Linked DNA regions of Macaca mulatta. Each later gene encodes a partner of the first gene's protein in a complex. Links are inferred from orthologs where the notes say so. Each region holds a gene or a part of one and is shown in the gene's direction. Other genes may lie near its edges.

The links.
Region 2: SF3B5 (region 1) and SF3B4 share a complex: the UniProt entries of both Homo sapiens proteins name them as parts of the SF3B subcomplex of the 17S U2 SnRNP complex. The link is inferred for Macaca mulatta from reciprocal best matches to the Homo sapiens genes SF3B5 and SF3B4.
Region 3: the proteins of SF3B5 (region 1) and DDX42 are in contact, whole or in part, in a cryo-EM structure (PDB 7EVN), measured with the Homo sapiens proteins. The link is inferred for Macaca mulatta from reciprocal best matches to the Homo sapiens genes SF3B5 and DDX42. Residues at the interface, in NP_112577.1 of Homo sapiens: Arg4, Tyr5, Thr6, Ser9, Gln10, His13, Leu14; in NP_031398.2 of Homo sapiens: Asp156, Ala159, Tyr160, Phe161, Tyr163, Met164, Asn167.
Region 4: SF3B5 (region 1) and PLRG1 share a complex: the UniProt entries of both Homo sapiens proteins name them as parts of the minor spliceosome. The link is inferred for Macaca mulatta from reciprocal best matches to the Homo sapiens genes SF3B5 and PLRG1.
Region 5: SF3B5 (region 1) and SNRNP200 share a complex: the UniProt entries of both Homo sapiens proteins name them as parts of the minor spliceosome. The link is inferred for Macaca mulatta from reciprocal best matches to the Homo sapiens genes SF3B5 and SNRNP200.
Region 6: SF3B5 (region 1) and BUD13 share a complex: the UniProt entries of both Homo sapiens proteins name them as parts of the minor spliceosome. The link is inferred for Macaca mulatta from reciprocal best matches to the Homo sapiens genes SF3B5 and BUD13.
Region 7: SF3B5 (region 1) and PPIL2 share a complex: the UniProt entries of both Homo sapiens proteins name them as parts of the minor spliceosome. The link is inferred for Macaca mulatta from reciprocal best matches to the Homo sapiens genes SF3B5 and PPIL2.

Annotation. Positions count from the first base shown.
Region 1 is NC_133409.1:49,348,244-49,350,920, reverse strand, and holds SF3B5 (splicing factor 3B subunit 5), read left to right. Parts: upstream 1-1,484; 5' UTR 1,485-1,585; coding exon 1,586-1,846; 3' UTR 1,847-2,177; downstream 2,178-2,677. UniProt on the Homo sapiens protein: Component of the 17S U2 SnRNP complex of the spliceosome, a large ribonucleoprotein complex that removes introns from transcribed pre-mRNAs.
Region 2 is NC_133406.1:117,231,368-117,233,494, forward strand, and holds the end of SF3B4 (splicing factor 3B subunit 4), read left to right. Parts: intron 1-935; coding exon 936-1,109; intron 1,110-1,220; coding exon 1,221-1,408; 3' UTR 1,409-1,627; downstream 1,628-2,127. UniProt on the Homo sapiens protein: Component of the 17S U2 SnRNP complex of the spliceosome, a large ribonucleoprotein complex that removes introns from transcribed pre-mRNAs.
Region 3 is NC_133421.1:73,613,126-73,616,673, forward strand, and holds the end of DDX42 (ATP-dependent RNA helicase DDX42), read left to right. Parts: intron 1-589; coding exon 590-688; intron 689-1,423; coding exon 1,424-2,125; 3' UTR 2,126-3,048; downstream 3,049-3,548. Other genes in the region: pre-rRNA 2'-O-ribose RNA methyltransferase FTSJ3, read right to left, coding at 3,538-3,548. UniProt on the Homo sapiens protein: ATP-dependent RNA helicase that binds to partially double-stranded RNAs (dsRNAs) in order to unwind RNA secondary structures. Unwinding is promoted in the presence of single-strand binding proteins.
Region 4 is NC_133410.1:163,129,965-163,133,172, reverse strand, and holds the end of PLRG1 (pleiotropic regulator 1), read left to right. Parts: intron 1-223; coding exon 224-417; intron 418-965; coding exon 966-1,025; 3' UTR 1,026-2,708; downstream 2,709-3,208. UniProt on the Homo sapiens protein: Involved in pre-mRNA splicing as component of the spliceosome. Component of the PRP19-CDC5L complex that forms an integral part of the spliceosome and is required for activating pre-mRNA splicing.
Region 5 is NC_133418.1:5,017,829-5,021,328, reverse strand, and holds part of SNRNP200 (U5 small nuclear ribonucleoprotein 200 kDa helicase), read left to right. Parts: coding exon 1-100; intron 101-684; coding exon 685-912; intron 913-1,261; coding exon 1,262-1,453; intron 1,454-1,551; coding exon 1,552-1,730; intron 1,731-1,912; coding exon 1,913-2,064; intron 2,065-3,500. UniProt on the Homo sapiens protein: Catalyzes the ATP-dependent unwinding of U4/U6 RNA duplices, an essential step in the assembly of a catalytically active spliceosome. Plays a role in pre-mRNA splicing as a core component of precatalytic, catalytic and postcatalytic spliceosomal complexes.
Region 6 is NC_133419.1:117,435,031-117,438,530, reverse strand, and holds part of BUD13 (BUD13 homolog), read left to right. Parts: coding exon 1-357; intron 358-1,934; coding exon 1,935-2,149; intron 2,150-3,500. UniProt on the Homo sapiens protein: Involved in pre-mRNA splicing as component of the activated spliceosome. As a component of the minor spliceosome, involved in the splicing of U12-type introns in pre-mRNAs.
Region 7 is NC_133415.1:31,306,111-31,309,610, reverse strand, and holds part of PPIL2 (RING-type E3 ubiquitin-protein ligase PPIL2), read left to right. Parts: intron 1-35; coding exon 36-153; intron 154-3,500. UniProt on the Homo sapiens protein: Has a ubiquitin-protein ligase activity acting as an E3 ubiquitin protein ligase or as an ubiquitin-ubiquitin ligase promoting elongation of ubiquitin chains on substrates.

The DNA of each region.
Region 1 (2,677 bases):
AAAGAGGAAGGAGAGTTTACATCTGTCTGGAGCAGCCAGAGAAAACTCTAAGGAGATGCATTTGAGCTGCCTTTTTGGGAGATGTATTCACCAAGGGAACAGACATTCCACGTAGAGGGAACAGCTTGTACAAGAAAATGGGGACGGGCACAACAGGTAACACGGAGAAGTACAGTTGTCCCTCAGTATCCGTGAGTGATTTGTTCCAGGACTCCCATGGATACCAAAACTAGAGGATGCTCAAGTCCCTGATATAAAATGGCTTGTATTTGCACATATGCACATTCTCCTGTATAGTTTGTCTCCAGATTATTTAACAATACCTAATACAATGTAAATGCTATGTAAATAGTTGTTATACTGTATTGTTTAGGGAATAATAACCTTAAAAAGTCTACACTTCAGTACAGACTGACTTTTTCCCCAAATATTTTCAATCGGGTCGGTTGAATCCACAAAACCCACTGAATGGAAGGGCCAAGTAGGGTGCAGTGAGGCCTTGGAGGAAGGATATCAAAATAAGTGGCTAGAGGGGAAGGAGGAGCTTGAGGTGGAAGCCGGAATGTGTGGGAATTGGTGCTGTACTTGCTCACCAAGCACCCTGGTTAGAGCTGAAATAACTCTTTTATGCCACAGACTCCTAAAAGACATAGCTGGGACCAGAACTTGTGCCTGCCGACTTCTGGGTAATCCATCCCTGGTTGTGAAGGGATGGCTGTGCTACCATGATAGCTTTGGAAAACACGGAGAGTTTATTTTCGGGGCTGCTTGTAGTCCAGTCCTACTTGGGTTTCCCATTTCCCATCAGCCCCAAGCCACCCACGGATGCTCCCCACCTCCCAGACATCACCCTCCACTAGGTCCCCAGATCACTTTTAAAACGCGACCAGGGGCCTGGCGCAGTGGCTCACGCCTGTAATCCCAGAATTTTGGAAGACCGAGGAGGGAGGATCACGAAATCAGGAGTTCGAGATCAGCCAGGCAAAGACAGTGAAACCCCATCTCTACTAAAAATACAAAAAAAAAAAAAAAAAAAAAAATTGGCCTGGCGTGGTGGTGTGCGCCTGTAATCCCAGCTACTGGAGAGGCTGAGGCAGGAGAATCGCGTGAACCCAGGAGGCGTTAAGTTGCAGTGAATCGAGATCGCGCCATTACACTGCAGTCCCGGCAACAGTGCGAGTCTCTGTCTCAAACAACAAAACGAGACCAGGAGTTCCAGAAGACTACGAGCACGAACTCCCAAGACCACAAGTCCCAGCATGCAAGGCTCCCTGTTGGAAAAGGGCTTCCCATAGCCACCAAGTGGACCATCATGCAACGCTCTCTGACGGGGCGGGGCTCTCTACAGGGGCGACACACTTGTGGCGTCGCCTCGGCAACTCCAATTCCGTGACAGAATGTGCTTCCGCTTCCGCCTTTGAGCCCTATGAGCGAGACTTACGCTACTTAGTCGTCGTGACGCCATTCTTCTGCGACGGCGCGGGCCTGGAGCTTCCGCACGGTGGCCTCACTCCCGCGTGAAACGCCAGAGCGGCGGTTTGTTGTCTGCGTCCTCTGTCCTGGGAACTAAGGGGAAAGCGGCGAGATGACGGACCGCTACACCATCCACAGCCAGCTGGAGCACCTGCAGTCCAAGTACATCGGCACGGGCCACGCCGACACCACCAAGTGGGAGTGGCTGGTGAACCAACACCGCGACTCGTACTGCTCCTACATGGGCCACTTCGACCTTCTCAACTACTTCGCCATTGCAGAGAATGAGAGCAAAGCGCGAGTCCGCTTCAATTTGATGGAGAAGATGCTTCAGCCTTGTGGACCGCCAGCCGACAAGCCCGAGGAGAACTGAGACTCTGCCTTACCACCACTGTGCGGGGCACCTCTCCCAGTGTTCCTCAGGTTGGCCAATCCCTTCGACTATTTCTGCCTCCAAAGGACCGGCTCTCCATGGCTCCTGCGTCTGGTACTTCCGCGTACAGAAGTGCTTGCCCGGGGAATCCCGCCTGACCTGCCTTCATGTGAACCCTTTGGAATAGCACTGGGAGACCAGCAGAACTCCTGAGAACTGTGCTGGTGAAGAGGGCCTAGAGCCGGCAAGCGTTTGAGAAGAGGGCGTGGCGCTGGAATGAGATGGGATTTGGCGTCTCATTTTTGGCTAATTGATTGTCATTGGCTTTTTCCATAAAGTTTAGAAATCATTAAGTCTCTTGGTGTGAACTTCCTGTGTTAGGGTGGAGGGCTCCTGAAAGACCCGAGCGGGAAATGGGTCGGGGGAGGGAGTGCATGCCAGTGTCCATGATCAGGTACTTAAATCCACCCTGTCTACCATTATAATTAATTCCCCGACTGCCACTTCTCCCAAGAGCGTTATTTTCAGGCCCACAATGCCTTCAGTATTGAAGTTTGTAGTTATTGTATCCCATTTTCTTTTTCTCCCGTTTTAAAAGTCTTTGCAGTCTTTGCTGTCATTGTCCTCCTTAGCCTCTTTAAAATGCATCCTTTCTTTTTCTTGGGAATTTGTGGCCATGTCTCCAGAAATGACAAGCTGGCAAGTGAGTTCATCCTTTCTATATTCAACAAATATTTGTTGAGCTCTATGTGACAGGCATTTTCCCATGTTCTTGAGGCTTACATTATGCTGGTGGTGGAGAAAGGAGGTCAAACACTGTAGACGTAATAA
Region 2 (2,127 bases), on another chromosome or scaffold:
TTCCCTAACTTCGATCTACTTTCACAGAGTAGGTTTTTTAAAACACAGATGTGCACACACTTGCTCAAAATGACTCTGTTGCTCCCTTTTACCTACAGAGTAAAACTCAAACTCATTACCATAGCATTCACAGCTCTTTATGAGCTGGCCCCTGCGCCTCATTTCTGTAACTGCATTTTGCTCCTGATTACTGAGTTAACTGGCATTTCCTGGAATATATTGTGCTGTTTGACACACCTGTAATCTTTCTGCTTGGGATGCTTTCTTCCCATGATCTTACCCTCCTGAAGCATTCATCCTTTAGAATTAGATCTTGGCTTAGACAGTATGTTCTCTGCTACTTTCTCAAATCCTATCAACAGAGTCATTACTCCACTTGTTATATACTTCAGCATTACTATTACAGTACCTAAATCATGGGAGAAGCGAGCGTAAGGAGTTGATTGAGTAATTGGTTGGTTTGTGCTGTTGGAATAGGGTCAAGGATAGGGAGCACTTTTTACCACCCTTCTTTTTTTGTTTGTTTGTTTGTTTGTTTGGTGATGGGGTCTCACTCTTTCACTCAGTCTGGAGTGCAGTAGTGTAGTTTTGGCTTATTGTAGCCTTGATCCTCCCATCTCAGCCTCCTGAGTACCTGGGACTACAGGCACACACCACCATGCCTGGCTAATTAAAAGTATTTTTTGATAGAGATGGGTTCTCACTGTGTTGCCCAGGCTGGTCTTGAACTCCTGGGCTCAAGTGATCCACCTAGGCCTCCCGAAGTGCTGGGATTATTGGCATGAGCCACTGTGCCCAGCCAGCCTTATTTTCTGTACCCTTTTTTCTGTATAGTTCTCTTTCTGATGTCACTTTCTTTCTAATTTTGTTCTTTTCTCTATTTTCTTTGCCTTCTCTTTGTCTCTTTTCTTCTTGTGTCTGTTTTATTTTCATAGGGATGTCTCAGATGCAGCTGGCACACCATGGCCCTCATGGCTTAGGACATCCCCACGCTGGACCCCCAGGCTCTGGGGGGCAGCCACCACCCCGACCACCACCTGGAATGCCTCATCCTGGACCTCCTCCAATGGGTATGCCCCCCCGAGGGCCTCCATTCGGATCTCCCATGGGTAAGTCGTCTCTAGCCACCTCCCTCATCTGCACCTATCATGTTCTTACAGCTTCCTGTAGGCACATCCCTTGTCCCGTGCCCTTACTAACTTTTCTTTTACTCCTTGCAGGTCACCCAGGTCCTATGCCTCCGCATGGTATGCGTGGACCTCCTCCACTGATGCCCCCACATGGATACACTGGCCCTCCACGACCCCCACCCTATGGCTACCAGCGGGGGCCTCTCCCTCCACCCAGACCCACTCCCCGGCCACCAGTTCCCCCTCGAGGTCCACTTCGAGGCCCTCTCCCTCAGTAAATTCACATTTTTCCTTCCTCCTGTTACATCTTCCCAATATCTTTTCTATTCCTTGGACCAATCAGAGATGCTGTAGCTCCTTGGGGCTAAGGTACTAATCCCTTTCAGCACCCCCACCCCATTCCCCTTTTTAATGTAATTTTTTCCACAGGAGGTATTTCTTTTTTATGTTGGTCCTGAGTATTTTGCAAATGCACAGAGAAAATAAAACTAAACTGCTTGTTTATTTGTGGTGTTTTCCTTGACAACAGTAACCTTTTTTCTTTAAGAAGAGATGTCAGAGTATCATGAAAAGAATGGTAAGGTAGGAGTAGGAGCAAGGGTGCTCACTCCACATTTTAAAGGCTTGTTCTGTAATGTGCTGTTGCAGTTGCTGAGCTCTGCTGTGCACTAGAGTAATTGTTTCCTTACATAGAGCTTATCTTCTAGTTTGGAAGATAGGGGGACCCAATATCTATAGTGTAGGGTCATCGTGTTTTTTTCTTTTTTTTTTTTTTTTGGAGACATGGTCTTGCTCTGTTGCCTAGGCTGGAGTGCGGTGGCATGATCACAGCTCACTGCACCCCCAACCTCCCAGGGTCAGGTGATTCTCCCACCAAAGCCTCCCAAGTAGCTGGGATCACAGGTGTATGCCATCACACCCAGCTAATTTTTGTATTTTTTGTAGAGGTGAGATTTTGCCATGTTGCCCAGACTGGTTTTGAACTCCTGGGTTCAAG
Region 3 (3,548 bases), on another chromosome or scaffold:
TGATAATTACATACTCTGTTCCCACATTATTATAATAATGATTATGCATAATAATAGCTAATATTTATTGAGCACTTTATATGTGCCAGGACCATTCCAAGCAATCCGATATTTTAGCTCAGTTAATCCTCACAACCACCAAATGGAAGTTAGTACAGATAACAACATTGAGACACCTAAAGTTACACTGACAAGCATTTAAGCTGAAATTCAGACCCTTCATGGTCTTGATTCAGGGCCTTAGCAGTCACACAATATGCTATTCAGAGCCTTTTCATCTTTAACATAATTTTTACTTACTTAATTGGATGTGTGTATGTAAATAATATATGATCAACTTTGGGCATAATCTGATTGCATTTCTGTTTAATAGGGTTAATTCCAAGAAGTAGAATTTCTGGGTTGAGGGCATAAGCATTTTTAAATGATTGTCACTGTCTTTTCTCACAAAGCAGAAGTAGCCTTCTAAAAGTATCCAGTTCCTTCGCAGCTCCCACTTCAAGGGTTTTCATTATAATGAGGGCTAGTCTATGGCAGTGAGCTTTCCTGCTTATTTTTTCATCCTCATAGTTGTGTTTATTTTTTTTAGGACCGAGGAAATAACAATGTAATGAGCAATTATGAGGCCTACAAGCCTTCCACAGGAGCTATGGGAGATCGACTAACGGCAATGAAAGCAGCTTTCCAGGTCTGAAATAAGCATTTCATTAAAAGCACTTTCAGCAGTAACTCTTGGGCAATGACAAGAGGGGCTTAGTTTTCCTGGTTGTAGCTGGGCTTACAGGCTTGATGCTAGATTTAGGGTCTTCACGCTGCTTGGATTTTGAATATAAACCTAACAGTAGCTTACTTGGACATGCAAATTGATCTAGAGAACCCCTTGTGCTGGTCTACTTGAGTCACACTCAGGGCCTGGGATTGTTGTCCTGCAGCAGGGTGTGTGTTCCCTCCCTTCCCAACAGCCTGCAGTATTGCCCACCTCCCAGGCGCCCACCTCCAACTCACTTCTGAAGCAAAATGTACTGATAGTCACACTAAGGTGAATCGATAGAATGAGTTCAAGGCAGGTTTTGCTGTCAAACTTAAATTTCAGCGTAAAAATTTTTTTTAAGTTTTCAGAACTTTTTGGTTTTGAATGGTAAATAACAGATAAATGTGCTAAATACACAGATGCTTTATTGTAGCCAATCAGGCTATAAAAGTACATTTCAGAACACTGGGGGTCCATCTCTCCACAGAGATCCACAAGTTTTCCTTTATAGCACAAGAAAAAAAGGGACCATACTGTGGGGCCAGCGGGACACTAAAGTCACAGTGCCAAGATAGCATAGTGTTTCTGTAAACCTCATCATTTGCCAAGTTGTATATTCAGGTTTCTTGAATTTGCTATCTTACCTACTCCTGATGTCTCTTTCTCTTTCAGTCACAGTACAAGAGTCACTTTGTTGCAGCCAGTTTAAGTAATCAGAAGGCTGGAAGCTCTGCTGCTGGGGCAAGTGGGTGGACTAGCGCAGGGAGCTTGAATTCTGTTCCAACTAACTCAGCACAACAGGGCCATAACAGTCCTGACAGCCCTGTTGCCAGTGCCACCAAGGGCATTCCAGGCTTTGGCAATACTGGCAACATCAGTGGTGCCCCTGTGACCTACCCATCTGCTGGAGCCCAGGGAGTCAACAACACAGCTTCAGGGAATAACAGCCGAGAAGGGACTGGGGGCGGCAACGGGAAAAGAGAGAGATATGAGAACCGGGGCAGCAGCCGTCACAGTCACGGAGAGACTGGCAATCGGCATAGCGATGGCCCACGTCATGGAGATGGTGGTCGCCATGGAGATGGATACCGCCACCCAGAAAGCAGCAGCCGTCACACTGATGGCCATCGGCATGGAGAGAACAGACATGGAGGAAGCGCAGGCCGGCATGGGGAGAACCGGGGTGCAAATGACGGTCGGAATGGGGAAAGCAGGAAAGAAGCTTGTAATCGTGAGAGCAAGATGGAGCCCAAGATGGAACCCAAAGTGGACAGCAGCAAGATGGACAAGGTGGACAGCAAGACAGATAAGACAGCTGATGGCTTTGCTGTCCCAGAGCCGCCTAAACGCAAGAAAAGTCGATGGGACAGTTAGAGGGGATGTGCTGAAGTGTGAAATCAGTTGTCCTTAATTTTTAGAAAGATTTCGGTAACTAGGTGTCTCAGGGCTGGGTTGGGGTCCAAAGTGTAAGGACCCCCTGCCCTTAGTGGAGAGCTGGAGCTTGGAGACATTACCCCTTCATCAGAAGGAATTTTCGGATGTTTTCTTGGGAAGCTGCTTTGGTCCTTGGAAGTAGAGCTGGGAAGCTTCCTTTGCCTCTAGGTGAGTTGTCATGAGGGTAAGTTGAGGTTATCTTGGGATAAAGGGCCTTCTAGGGCACAAAACTCACTCTAGGTTTATATTATACGTAGCTTATATTTTTTACTAAGGTGTCACCTTATAAACATCTATAAATCGACTTCTTTTTCTTAGTTGTATGGCCAGGCAGTCCCCTTTTTAGGAGTTGGCTTCTGCAAACTCAATCCATTGAACTAACTGTTGGGGAGCAATTTGGTAGTTGTAGACATTTGCAGGGAAGGGAGATGTCTGATTCTAAATGGGAGTTGATGCTCAGGTCCCCAGCCATGTTTGCGTCCAGCCCTGAGACATGTAGGAAACACCTTCCAGACCCAGGCTCTGAAGATTCCCAGAAGCCACAAGGATTGAAGGGAAAAGGTGATCCTGGTAACTGTTCTAGGATTGCTCCAGGTCTGAGATGGTGTTGCTAAATTTAAAATTAAACAAAAAACCCAACAAGAGCTTTTAAAGTGTCTTCTTCTTCTATTTCATTGTATTTTTTTTAACTTGCCCCAATGATAGAAAAGTCTTTTGCTGAAATGATTTTGATGATTTTTGTTCTATGTTGTTTATAAAAGGAAAAGAAATATACAAACTTTGACTTTTGTGACTTTGTGAAGGTTTCTTTAAGATGTGCATTCCTTTCTGCTTGCTCTCTAGTAAATGTTTTACTACTGGGACCTGTGGATCGTTTGTCATTTCTGTCTCACTATGAGTTGGTACATCTTAGAATAGTGCCGCCCACAGTGTGCGTACTCAGATGTAGGGAAGTGCTTATTAAAACTGTCAGAAAAGACAACTCTTCCATTATCCTGGTTTTATTCAGGAATAGGATGGGGGAAGGCTTAAGGGGCCCACATGTCCAGGTGTAGACTACATCGAGTGTCGCTCCAACACTGAACTTCCCCTTAACAGTTTAAAAAAAGGGTCGTGGGTCTGTCAACACAGTTCAGCAGTGCTTTCATGGGAGACCTTCCTTCAGGCAAGCAGGAGGACATCGTCCTCTCCGCCGAAGACCACCACGGGAGTTCTAGGCACCCCGCCTCACTGTTCTTCAGACAGCTGTGATGTGAGCAGGGGCTGGGCTGGTTATCAAGGGGGCCAGACTGAGCCATGCCACACCCTTCCTCCTAGTCCCCATGCTCTCCTGGTGAGCCTGGCAGCTCTGCTTACTTCCGTT
Region 4 (3,208 bases), on another chromosome or scaffold:
GGAATTGGATGTTAGATTTTGAGGTGCTTTTTAAGATCTATAAATTCTGAACCCAGCACAAATGAAAGTAGAAAAGCCAATATTAGGAGAAGATTGAGTGCCTGTGTCTTATGTATTTTTATAACCGAAGTATTGCCATGCTTGGGCTAATGATGCTTAATAAATGTTTGTCAAGCTGTACTGCTGAAGGGATACCAGGTGTAACTAGATTTTTCCCTTTAAGCTGACAATGGCACCATGCATCTTTGGGACTGGAGAACTGGCTACAATTTTCAGAGAGTTCATGCAGCTGTGCAACCTGGCTCTTTGGACAGTGAATCGGGAATATTTGCTTGTGCTTTTGATCAGTCTGAAAGTCGATTACTAACAGCTGAAGCTGATAAAACCATTAAAGTATACAGAGAGGATGACACAGCCGTAAGTTCTCTGTTTCACATTTGTTAAGTAAAGCAGCTATACCAATTGGGCACTGTGTTCTCATTTAATTTTATCAGAAGGAAAAATAATCTTTATAGTATTTAAGATATTTGTTTTCTTGAATAGTGTCTATTTATAGATTTCTATATTATTTCACTGATGCCAGTGAATTCATGGATGGTTTTAATTTTATCCCAGCTTTCTTTGTTATAGTTGCTGGGAAATGTTGCACCAAGAATAACAGCAAATAAATAGATTGCTATGCAAATTCATTTGAGAATCATAAGCTTTGGTATTAGTAGATCCAAATAGAAATGTTATTTTAGATTAAAAACTGCAAACTAAACATAATGAATCCATCCATCTGTTATTAGACTTAGATAATGCCAGAAGTTTATCAACTCTTCCTAAAATTGTCAAAGAACTACTAAGTATATAATGCCAATGAATAATGTTAGAGGAGATACCTTATTTCTGTTAGAAAGGAAGCCTGTTAGACATGAAGCAAACTAATAATACTTTATTTTAACTTGCTTTTCTACTTTTAGACAGAAGAAACTCATCCAGTCAGCTGGAAACCAGAAATTATCAAGAGAAAGAGATTTTAATGAATGTGGAATTTTCTTTTTTTTTTTTTTTTAAAAAAAAAAAAAAGCTTGGCGTTGATGAGGATACCCAGTCATTTTGTGCTCTGGCTGGGAATATAAAGGAGAAATTCACTTGCTTCAATCATTGCTGCTTCATATTTTACAATAAACTGTCCCCTGTCCCCTACCCTTGTGTTTTTATTTCTAAAACAATTTGTGATACTAGGAAGATGCAGATATCAAGTAAATGCAGGTTTATTGACTGTAACTATTCTAGATGTAATATTTTGACAGTCTTATTAGAACAACCCCCTTTTTTAAAAAAATGTATGAAACCGATTATTATAATAGGACATTTGAGGGAGCAGTAGGTTTTTTTTTTTAATCCTTTAAAAATTAATATCTGTGACTAATAATTTGAGATTAAAAGATTTAAAGTCTTAACTTATATATGTTTATTCCAAAAACGGTTTTTGAGTGTATGTTCTACAAAGTTCTGCACTAGATACCGTTCAGGAAATAGACAAGTAAGATGTGTCTATCCTCTAAGACTTCCAGTTTGGTAGCTTAGTATAGAAATTCTGTAATGGAGGTGCAGGTGAAATGCTGGGGGAACAGAAGTGGGGATGAGATCATTTATTTTTCCCAGGAAGGATTGTGGAAGACTTCATAGAGTAAGTGGCATTGGAGATGACTTTGAGGTGAAGGAGGACAAAGAAGGAAAAGAGATAAGGCATGAAGCGATGAAACCAGGCAGAAGAAAGTGTGCGGTGTGTCCTGGGACAAAGAATTTTCTGCTACTGTTGAATAATGGAGAGTAAAGCTGGCTTGTTGTGAGGAAAGCTCATATAAATTTGGATTTTATTCCACAACTAGTAAGATACCAATACTGCCATTGAAACTTGGGGAAAATAACTGGAGATACCAGTGCAGCTGTTTAAAACTGTAGCAAGGGCTGCAATCTTGTAGAGATTTTAAAGAGAAGTTTTAAAGTTTCTAATGCCTCTTTTTGATAAATACAAGTTTTATAAATCTTGCCCTGGGATCCTGATTCCCCTTTAGTCAAGAAGATTTGTCAGACTTCACCTTCTATAATGAGAAAACACAGTTATAAGAACAGTCAGTTTTTATAATTTTCCAAATTAAAAAATTGCACTATGATTTTGAATAAGCATTTCCAATTATATTACCCATCTTGCATGCTATAGGTGGGAGTATAATTGGCACAACCTTTAGGAATGTAGTTTTCTGGGGTTTATTGAAACTGTTTGAACCTTTTGGCCTACTAAGTTCATTTCTAGGGAACTGCCTAATGGGAATAATCTGACAAGTGTACACAAGCAAATTCATTGCACCTTTGTTCTTTAATACTTAAAACTCAAATGTCCTGTCAATAAGGGATGGTTTAATAGATGGTTCCTTTATGCAATTTGTTTCTAAGTATTCATTAAGTGAGTGAGGAATGTCTGGATTATTAGGGCAAAATTTCCAAACTTTACTCTTAGTTAAAAAAAGTTGTGCAAGCATTTTTTGTGAACAACTTAATGCTCCAAAATATAACACCACATTACTAACAGTGGCTTTGTTAGGAAGCAGAATTATGGAAGAACTTTCACGACTGGCTTTACATATTTCTATGTTTTAATTTTCTATAAGCATGTATTTCATAAACTTAAATAAAGAAAAAAGAACGCTGCACTTGCATTCCTGAGAGATTCTGATATGCCTTCTAACAACAAAAATCAGAGGTAGATGCTGTTAAAGGCCAAGAAGAAATGACTAGTACAAGGAGATGAGAAAGCCCCTACCAATCTTTTTAGCAGAGCTTCAACTATTGTGTTCAAGTTAGGTACACATATCAAATTCTGAAAAGCATTTAAAAAAATCTGTTTCCCTGCTCCATGCTGGCCTATATTACAGTGTTTCTTGAAACTTCTGTTGCATTAAGTTCATCTACCATAATGTGTTCATGGACCCTATGAAAGGTGCAGAATTTCATGCATGTGCCCTTTTACTTACCTGACAGACCCCCCACCAGGGTTAAGCCCAAATCTCTTCCACTGCCCATTGCATATGGCTTAAGTGTAGTCAAGCTATAAAGTGTTACCAAAGAAAGGCAGCTCCACAGACTGGACTCATTCTTGGTCTGTAACCACATATCTCAAGGGAGCCATCAACAATGACCAAATACACATCTCCATAGT
Region 5 (3,500 bases), on another chromosome or scaffold:
GAAGACCATTTGTGCAGAGTTTGCCATCCTGCGGATGCTGCTGCAGAGCTCGGAGGGGCGCTGTGTGTACATCACCCCCATGGAGGCCCTGGCAGAGCAGGTATGACATGGCGCTGTATCACGTGAATTTGCCCAGAAGCATTTCATCTGTGATTCCATATGAAGGCTTTTTTAGGCCGGAAATTTGCAGGGTCATTTCTTCAGTTTGTGTATTAAAGAAAAGCCGCCCCAGCGAGGCGCGGTGGCTCACGCCTGTAATCCCAGCACTTTGGGAGGCCGAGGCGGGCAGATCTCCTGAGATCAGGAGTTCGAGACCAGCCTGGCCAACATGGTGAAACCCCGTCTCTACTAAAAATACAAAAACTAGCTGGGTGTGCTGGCACGCGCCTGTAATCCCAGCTACTCGGGAGGCTGAGGCAGGAGAATTGCTTGAACCCGGGAGGCGGAGGTTGCAGTGAGCCAAGATTGCACCACTGCACTCCAGCCTGGGCAACGAGAGTGAGACTTCATCTCAAAAAAAAAAAAAAAGAAAGAAAAGCTGCCCCATCACATAAAGGCTGCTGTGGGATTAGAACGTAGCTTGAGATCAGCAGGTCTCTGTTTGGCATCTCAGGTTTTCCTCAGGTAAGTGAAAGATGCCTGGTATGACCTCATGTTGTTCGGCCTCCCTCCTCTGCCTGCCAGGTATACATGGACTGGTATGAGAAGTTCCAGGACAGGCTCAACAAGAAGGTGGTACTCCTGACGGGAGAGACCAGCACAGACCTGAAGCTGCTAGGCAAAGGGAACATTATCATCAGCACCCCCGAGAAGTGGGACATACTTTCCCGGCGGTGGAAGCAGCGCAAGAACGTGCAGAACATCAACCTCTTCGTGGTGGATGAGGTCCACCTTATCGGGGGCGAGAATGGGGTATGGCGCGACCTTGCAGCACAGATGAGGGACTGGGACTGACCGAGTGACCTTGGCATTGGGCCTTGCATTTGGGTCTGAGGACGGAGGCTCGGGGCTTCTCCCCGGAGGATTCTGCCTGCTGCCCTATTCCAAAGGGACAAGGTCAGCTTTTTTGGTAGTACTTTAGGAAAACAGTATTGTTTAGTGGAGGTTGGCTGCTGTGGAGGAGGTAGAACCAAAAACATGAGAGCTCCTAGTTAGAAGGAAGAACGAGGTCATTTTGAGGCTGCTGGGCTGTTCACAAAGGGGACCTCCAGGCAGAGGATGGGAGCCTCGGCCTGCAGTGACCCTCCCTCCCTCTTTCCAGCCTGTCTTAGAAGTGATCTGCTCCCGAATGCGCTACATCTCCTCCCAGATTGAGCGGCCCATTCGCATTGTGGCACTCAGCTCTTCGCTTTCCAATGCCAAGGATGTGGCCCACTGGCTGGGCTGCAGCGCCACCTCCACCTTCAACTTCCACCCCAATGTGCGTCCCGTCCCTTTGGAGCTGCACATCCAGGTAGGACCCACTCTCCTCATCCGTCTGTGGGGTCCTACGTAGATCCTGAGTGCCCAGGTCTGATAACCTTGGTGTGTTTTCTTCTTCCCGGTCGCCAGGGCTTCAACATCAGCCATACACAAACCCGCCTGCTGTCCATGGCCAAGCCTGTGTACCATGCTGTCACCAAGCACTCGCCCAAGAAGCCTGTCATTGTCTTTGTCCCGTCTCGCAAGCAGACCCGCCTCACTGCCATTGACATCCTCACCACGTGTGCGGCAGACATCCAACGGCAGAGGTGGGCGGGGCCTGGTGTCTGGGGGTTGGGGTTAGGTTAAGTGAGGCTGGCCCACTCCAAGGGTGCCCTCTTTATGAGGGTGGGGTTAGCCCATGTGGCTCGGGGCCAGGTTCTGTACAGCTGGCAGGATGTCTGCCAGGAATTGGACCACTCTGAGCTGAGCCATTGCCTGTGCCGCACAGGTTCTTGCACTGCACCGAGAAGGATCTGATTCCGTACCTGGAGAAGCTGAGTGACAGCACGCTCAAGGAAACGCTGCTGAATGGGGTGGGCTACCTGCATGAGGGGCTCAGTCCCATGGAGCGGCGCCTAGTGGAGCAGCTCTTTAGTTCAGGTGAGTCAGGCCACAGAAGGGGAGCACAGCAAGGGCATCACCAAATGGTGGTGGTAAACCTGAGGGGTGCGGATGGCAGTATTTCTCTACAGCATACTAGACCTTTTCAGAATACTGTTTAGGACTCTTAGCTGTTAACTCATTTGATCCTCCCGAGAGCCTCGTGAGACAGGTGAGACAAACACTGTCCCTACTTGCCAGGTGAGAAAACAGGCAGACACGTCGGGCTGTGCTATTACAGACAGGTGAGAAAACAGTCAGACACGTCGGGCTGTGCTATTACAGACAGGTGAGAAAACAGTCAGACACGTCGGGCTGTGCTATTACAGACAGGTGAGAAAACAGGCAGACACGTCGGGCTGTGCTATTACAGACAGGTGAGAAAACAGGCAGACACGTCGGGCTGTGCTATTACAGACAGGTGAGAAAACAGGCAGACACGTCGGGCTGTGCTATTACAGACAGGTGAGAAAACAGGCAGACACGTCGGGCTGTGCTATTACAGACAGGTGAGAAAACAGTCAGACACGTCGGGCTGTGCTATTACAGACAGGTGAGAAAACAGGCAGACACGTCGGGCTGTGCTATTACAGACAGGTGAGAAAACAGGCAGACACGTCGGGTTGTGCTATTACAGACAGGTGAGAAAACAGGCAGACACGTCGGGCTGTGCTATCTCAGACAGGTGAGAAAACAGGCAGACATGTCGGGTTGTGCTATTTCAGAACCTGGTTTTCTAGAGTCCAGGACCTTTGGCCACTAGACTGCTGATTCTCCATGGATTAGTTCATTCTTGCATTGCTATAAAGAAATACTTGAGACTGGGTCATTTATAAAGAAAGGAGGTTTAATTGACCCACAGTGCTGGAGGCTGTACATGAAGCATGGTGGCATCTGCTTCTGGGAATGCCTCAGGGAAGGCCAACGGGAAGCAGGCATCTTACATGGCAGGAGCCAGGACCGAGAGAGTGGGTGGGGAGGTGCTACACACTTGAACAACCAGATCTTGTGAGAACTCACTCGCTAGACAGTACCAAGGGCGGGTTGTGCTAAACCATTCATGAGAACTCCGCCCCCGTGGGCCAGTTATCTCCCACCAGGTCCCTCCTCCAACACTGGGGACTACAGTTCGATGAGATTTGGTGGAGACACAGATCCAAACCATCTCACCAAGATCGTTAGACTTTAGAGATTAGCACACAGGAGAGCTCTGATTCTCCCTTGGGCACACTCTTGCTGGCCACTGTCCCTTGTTGACCTGTGGCATTTTGTGCAAAGATTTACCTTTTAACACTGCTTAATGGAGCCTCATTGGAGATCCTCCTGCCAGAATCACTTCCTGTTACTCTTTGGCCCTTGAATCTGCCTGTTTGGGGCATGCTTAGAGTGACCTCCGGTTTGCTGGCGTGGCTGAGCCAGCCCATGGCTGCGTGAGT
Region 6 (3,500 bases), on another chromosome or scaffold:
CTCCTAGGCGAGCCCGTCGTGATTCCTCAGATATCTCTACCACCAGAAGGGTCCATAACAACTCCCCTGACACATCTAGGAGGACTCTTGGCTCTTCAGACACACAGCAACTCAGAAGGGCCCATCATGACTCCCCTGATTTGGCTCCTACTGTCACTCATTCCCTACCCAGAACCAAAAGTGGTAAAGCCCCAGAAAGAGCCTCTAGCAAGACTTCTCCACCTTGGAAGGAGTCAGGAGCCTCCCATTCGTCACTCCCAAAGAACAGCAAATATGAGTATGACCCTGACCTCTCTCCTCCACGAAAAAAGCAAACAAAATCCCATTTTGGAGACAAGAAGCAGTTTGATTCCAAAGGTGAGCATATGACTGTCCATGAGAGGGACATATGTATCCCTGGGAGCTTTCTTTTGGCCCTTTACTTGTTTTATTAGGTATGAGAATGGAGTTTCTTTGGGAAAGTTTTGAAAAGTGAGAGGCTGGGTTTGGGAGAGTTAAAGGATTATGGTGGCAGGAGGAAGGTTTTCATGTATCTTTTTACGTACTCGCCCCACCCCATAGAAAAGTACAATTTATTTGTTGCAGAAGCTTTAGAATGTACAGAAGTGTATAAAGATAAAATGTGACACAAAATTCTGTCATTCAGAGGCAATTAGTGTTGTAGCCAGGACCATCTTAGTCTTTTTTGGTTTGCCTTTTTTATATAGTTGAGTTCTGGCTATGTAGAACATTTGTATTGCATGTGCAATCTTGCCTGCTCTCCTTTCTTAACAGTCTTCCTCAGGCCATAAAAACATCTTTATGTTAGTATTTTTAATAGTGTTTCATTACATAAATTTAACCATTTTCCTAATAAAGAATATTTTTGGTTATTTCTAAGTTTTTGCTTCTGTAATTCTATAATGAACATCCTTGTACATAAACTGTTGTCCCCATTTTGGATTATTTCCTTATCTACTTCTAGATAGATTTCCTGGAAATTCAACTACTTCTATATAGGTTTCTCAGAAAGCTGAGAAGTTGATGTACTGGGTCAGAAGATGTGGCCGTTTTAAAGACTGTCGATACATATTGCAGAATGCTCTTTGGGAGGTGACTTGTGATGCTTATACAGTCACTAGAATTTAGGCCTGTGCAGTTAAATTTTTTATTCCCTCTTTTGTTCCCAGGAACTATTTTAATTTTAAATTAAAGCACTTTGTTATCCTTTAGTCCGAGGATATCAGAATATAATTCTAGGTATTTCTGACTTTTGCCACACTATGGAGAGCTGTCTTTCCATGAGTGGGGTTACTGACATAGAGGAGTGTGTGGAGATCTTACACACCAGTTACAGTCAGTGGTCACTTGGGAATAGAATGCCATCTTCTACCTATTGGTCTTAAAAGTTGTTTCTGACTTTGCTCTTCTCCTATGTCATCCATAGTTATGTTTAGGTTAATGATAATTCTTCATAGAAAAACTAAATAAATATTGTACATTAGCTTGGTAAGTTATTTTCTTAGATTCTTCCAAGGGGATTAAAGAACTCTTTGGCCAGGCATGGTGGCTCAAGCCTGTAATCCTAGCACTTTGGAGGCCGAGGCAGGCGAATCACCTCAGGTCAGGAGTTCAAGACCAGCCTGGCCAACATTGGCGAAACCCCATCTCTACTAAAAACACAAAAATTAGCTGGGCGTGGTGGCACACACCTGTAATTCCAGCTGCTTGGGAGGCAGAGGCACAAGAATTGCTTGAACCCAGGAGGCGGAGATTGCAGTGAGCTGAGATCACGCCACTGCACTCCAGCCTGAGACTCTGTCTCAAAAAATAAAATAAAATAAAATAGAAGGAATTCTTTAATTTCTAGGTTCTTCTCCCAGCCATAGGAGATTTCATGTAAGTTCTTCACCCAGGGGACATCAGAGTCACACAGATTCTTTGCTCCTATCCAGGTGACTGCCAGAAAACAACTGATTCAGACCTTTCTTCTCCACGGCATAAACAAAGTCCAGGGCACCAGGATTCCGATTCAGATCTATCACCTCCACGGAATAGACCTAGACACCGGAGCTCTGATTCTGACCTCTCTCCACCAAGGAGGAGACAGAGGACCAAATCTTCTGATTCTGATCTGTCCCCGCCTCGAAGGAGTCAGCCTGGAAAGAAGGTCAGGATTTTCAGGAGCCATGTCCTTCTTTTTGTGTGACTCTTCTCTCTCAGTTTTATATATGTCCCAGATAAGCCGAGAAGAAGGATGTAGCTCTTAGAAGTGTAGTAAATCTTAGTTAAAAGGACCTTTGGAGGTCTTTCTTTCTGAAGGCAAACTGGCTATAACCCATCCCGGATGGACTTACAGATACCAGATTTCCCAAGTAGCTTCTGCTTTTATAGCCTCTTAATTCTACAATCTCATTTTAACAGGTCCAGAAAAGCTTCCTATTTTCTTAGGAATAAACTGGGGACTGTAATTTGCAGAGTGGAGTTTGGAGCACAAACATTGTGTCAAACGGATCATATGGCAAGATGCTTAATATCTCTAAACCTCAGTTTCTTTATCTGTAAATTGTGGATAATAGTAGTACCTACTGTGTAAGGTTGTTATGATAATTAAGCCAGTGTAAGTAAAACTCTTAGCACAGTGTCTGGGACAAAGTAAGTATCTAGTGTTAGTGATTTACTACTATAAATTGGACTATAGGTCTCTGTATCCAGAACTTAAGAACAGACACTTAAAATATGAAACCACTTTTAGAAATCATGTTGTCCGAAAGGTCAATGTTTTGTTTTGAATTCATGATAAAGCTTGATGAATTAGTCAAAAAACCCAAAAATCCATATGAACCCTGAGTAATTATATTGTAAAGAACATTGGTAGTAGTAAAGGAATCTTATTTGTGAATGGTTAAGAAACAGAATGATAGAGGCTGTGATGTGCATTTTTCTCCCCAGTGCAGACTTATCGGGTAAATCCTGTCTGTAGAAAACTCTGAGAAGACTGGTCCTGGCAGGGTAGACCAGCTTGTTCTTTACCCAGGGAGTGAAATTCTCCTCTTTTAGGGAAAAAAGAGGTCTCTGTTTCAGCTGGACCCCTTGACATTTTATATATCTGTTTAGTTCATGGACAACTTAATATTAGTCCAATTTGGTTGCTTAAGGATATCAGGATATACTGTGTGCTTCATTCGTGGGCTGGTTTGCTATCTTGATACTAAGTGGAAATTAGCAAAAAGTTTTCATTTGGTTAGATCTTTTGTTATTACCCTGAAATATATCCACAATTTAAGGATCTTAGGTTTGCTTGAGTTTGTACTGTAAATGGAATATTTTATCAGTGTTGGTCTCTAATGGAAGGCTTAGTGCTTTATACTGGTTTCTGATCAGATGACCTGAGAGAATCTTCATGTGTGCAGTTTATATTCTGAAAAGTCAGAAATGCAAATGTGTAGCTCTCCCTTTAATATATTGTTAGTTTGTGTTTCTGCTTACTCTTAAACTTGATGGTTTTGATGAAATTTGAT
Region 7 (3,500 bases), on another chromosome or scaffold:
AAGCTTTCCTGCTTCTGTGGGCCTTTCTCTTCCAGGTGGGGAGTCGTACTGGGGGAAGCCCTTCAAAGATGAGTTCCGGCCCAACCTCTCTCACACGGGCCGCGGCATCCTCAGCATGGCCAACTCAGGGCCCAACAGCAACAAATCTCAATTGTGAGTCAGCCGGGCTGGCTGGGGTGGCCTGGGAGGTGAGCCAGCACTCCCTGCAGGTTCTCCCTCTTGGCCCTCCCTGAAGGGCGTGCTGGTTCTGAATCAAACCCAGACAGTGTACGGCACACCTAGGCCAAGCATGTGCACCTGTGTTCAAAAGGGGGCCCCCCAGAGTGAGTCAGCAGGGAGAGCTGCCCGCGCCCGGTTTGTCCTCGAGAGACCAGAAGTCATGAATTACTGGAGGTCCAGAAGGGCCTCTTGATAGGGACCAGGCGTTCGTGTGGGTGCCTGTGGCCAGGCAGTGCTGGGGGAGGTCAGCGTGCTGGAGTAGCGTGTGGGAGGGATTGTGCAGGGCATGGGCTGGACAGGGAGAGGCGCCTGGAGAGACACAGGAGGTCTGGGGAATGCGTGGCCCTGGTGCATGTGGGGAGCAGTGTGCAGGCTGGTGGCAGGCGGCAGGGGATGGGGGGCCAGCAGGGCTGTGGGGGCCAGATGCCTGTATTGTGGAAGAACAGAGGTGCCCTTTCCATCCACCTGCCACCCCAGACAGTGGCCTGACTTTATGTTTTAGTCTTTCAATCATTTTCTTCACGTGGGTCCGGTGACTTTCTGGATAAAGCAACTTCTTTTTTTTTTTTTTTTTTTTTTTTTTGAGACGGAGTCTCGCTCTGTCACCCAGGCTGGAGTGCAGTGGCAGGATCTCGGCTCACTGCAAGCTCCGCCTCCCGGGTTTACGCCATTCTCCTGCCTCAGCCTCCCGAGTAGCTGGGACTACAGGCGCCCGCCATCTCGCCCGGCTAGTTTTTTGTATTTTTTAGTAGAGACGGGGTTTCACCGGGTTAGCCAGGATGGTCTCGATCTCCTGACCTCGTGATCCGCCGGTCTCGGCCTCCCAAAGTGCTGGGATTACAGGCTTGAGCCACCGCGCCCGGCCAGCAACTTCTTAAGGACTTTTTATAATTTGTGATACTTTTGTAAATGGACTTTTTTTCCAACTTTTGGGGATCATTGCTCATGGAGAGAAAAACTCCTGTTCATTTTATATCTAGCCACTTTATCACGTTCTCTTATAATTAAAAAAGGGTTTAAGAGTCTTTTGGGGCCGGGCGCGGTGGCTCAAGCCTGTAATCCCAGCACTTTGGGAGGCCGAGACGGGCGGATCACGAGGTCAGGAGATCGAGACCATCCTGGCTAATATGGTGAAACCCCGTCTCTACTAAAAATACAAAAAACTAGCCGGGCGAGGTGGTGGGCGCCTGTAGTCCCAGCTACTCGGGAGGCTGAGGCAGGAGAATGGCGTAAACCTGGGAGGCGGAGCTTGCAGTGAGCTGAGATCCGGCCACTGCACTCCAGCCTGGGCGACAAAGCGAGATTCCGTCTCAAAAAAAAAAAAAAAAAAAAAAAAAAAGAGTCTTTTGGGTTTTCTAGATAGTCACGCTTATCATCAAAAGCTGGCCGCCTCTCTGCCACCCTGGTGTGCTCATCAGTCCTGTCACCGTCATGTCACCGTGGGCCTGATGGGGAGGAGGAAGTGGGCGTCTTGCTTTGCTCCACAGGAATCGCTGTTTTGCCTTCTCAGAACATTTGTTGTTGGGCTGTTTTTTAGGAGGGTGGCTGAGTTTCTAGAGGTTTCTTTCTTAGCATCTGTTACGATGATTCTGTGCTTTTCTGGTCCTCCTGGGATTTGTGGATGTGGCCACTACAAGGCTAGAGTGCATGGGTGTCTGCGTGGCATTCTGGGGTGAACCCTGGCCTCTCGTGGCTTTGCTGTGGCCTTCCACCGGCTCACTGTCTTGTCACACGTGGTCTCAGTTGTGTGGACTGGCTCCAGCAGGTTTTGCTGTGACAAGTGTGGCCCCTGCATGTTGTGAGCAGAGCTGGCTGTGGCTTTGTAGCCTGGAATGGTTAAAATCACAGGGGTGGCTGGGCGTGGTGGCTCACACCTGTAATCCCAGCACTTGGCGAGGCTGAGGTAGGTGGATTGCCTGAGCCCAGGAATTTGAGATGAGCCTGGGCAACATGGCAAAACCCCATCTCTACAAAAAATTTAAAAAATTAGTGGGGCATGGTGGTGTGTGCCTGTAGTCCCAGCTACTTGGGAGGGTGAGGTGGGGGATCCTCTGAGCCTGGGAAGTCAAAGCTGCAGTGAGCTGGGATCGCACCACTGCACTCTATTCTGGGCAGCAGTGAAACCCTGTCTGGAAAAAAAAAATCACACTGGCATCAGCTGTGGTGAACAGCCGGCCAAAGGCAGCTGGCAGCCGTTCGTGCCACTTTCTTGGGGCTTTCATTTCAGGGTTAATGGGTACTTGTTCCCATGAAGCTGATGTTCTCTTGGCCTCTCTGTGCTCACCTCTTTTTTTTTTCTCCTTCCTAATCACACTTTCTGTTCCTCGATCCCTTAATGGTCTTTGAAGGGTTTGTCTGTTTTCACTTCCTGTGGAATTGTTTTCACTCTCTGTCTTTGCTTCTTCATGGTGCTTTTCCTCCTTCTTCACTTTAATCCATGTCTGCTTCTGGAGCCGCGTCTGTCATTTTGAGGGTGCACGTTCCCTCTTCACTGCTTGCTGGCGGTTGGTAGCTTCCCTTTCAGTTTCCTCTTAGCCAAGGATTGCCTAGGACTGTTGGTTATTTTCAAGTAGGTTGGGTGCATGGTTGGTTCTTGTTTGGCAGGGGCCAGGATGGGGAATCATTTTATTATTTTTTATTTCTCTTTGGCTTAACCAGCCTGTGAAACGGCTGACAGATCAGTTGCCACCTTCTCTTCCTTTTTTTTTTTTTGAGATGGAGTTTCACTCTTGTCGCCCAGGCTGGAGTGCAATGGTGGGATCTTGGCTCGCTGCAACCTCCGCCTCCCGGTTCAAGCAGTTCTCCTGGGATTACAGACGCCCACCACAATGCCCAGCTAATTTTTTGTATTTTTAGTAGAGACAGGGTTTCACCATGTTGGCCAGGCTGGTCTCCAACTCCTGACCTCAGGTGATCCACCCATCTCAGCCTCCCAAAGTGCTGAGATTACAGGCTTGAGCCACCATGCTCAGCCTTCTCTTCTTTTTTTTTTTTTTTTTTTTGAGACGGGGTCTCGCTCTGTCGCCCAGGCTGGAGTGCAGTGGCCGGATCTCAGCTCACTGCAAGCTCCGCCTCCTGGGTTTATGCCATTCTCCTGCCTCAGCCTCCCGAGTAGCTGGGACTACAGGCGCCCGCCACCTCGCCCGGCTAGTTTTTTGTATTTTTAGTAGAGACGGGGTTTCACCATGTTAGCCAGGATGGTCTCGATCTCCTGACCTCGTGATCCGCCCGTCTCGGCTTCCCAAAGTGCTGGGATTACAAGCTTGAGCCACCGCATCTGG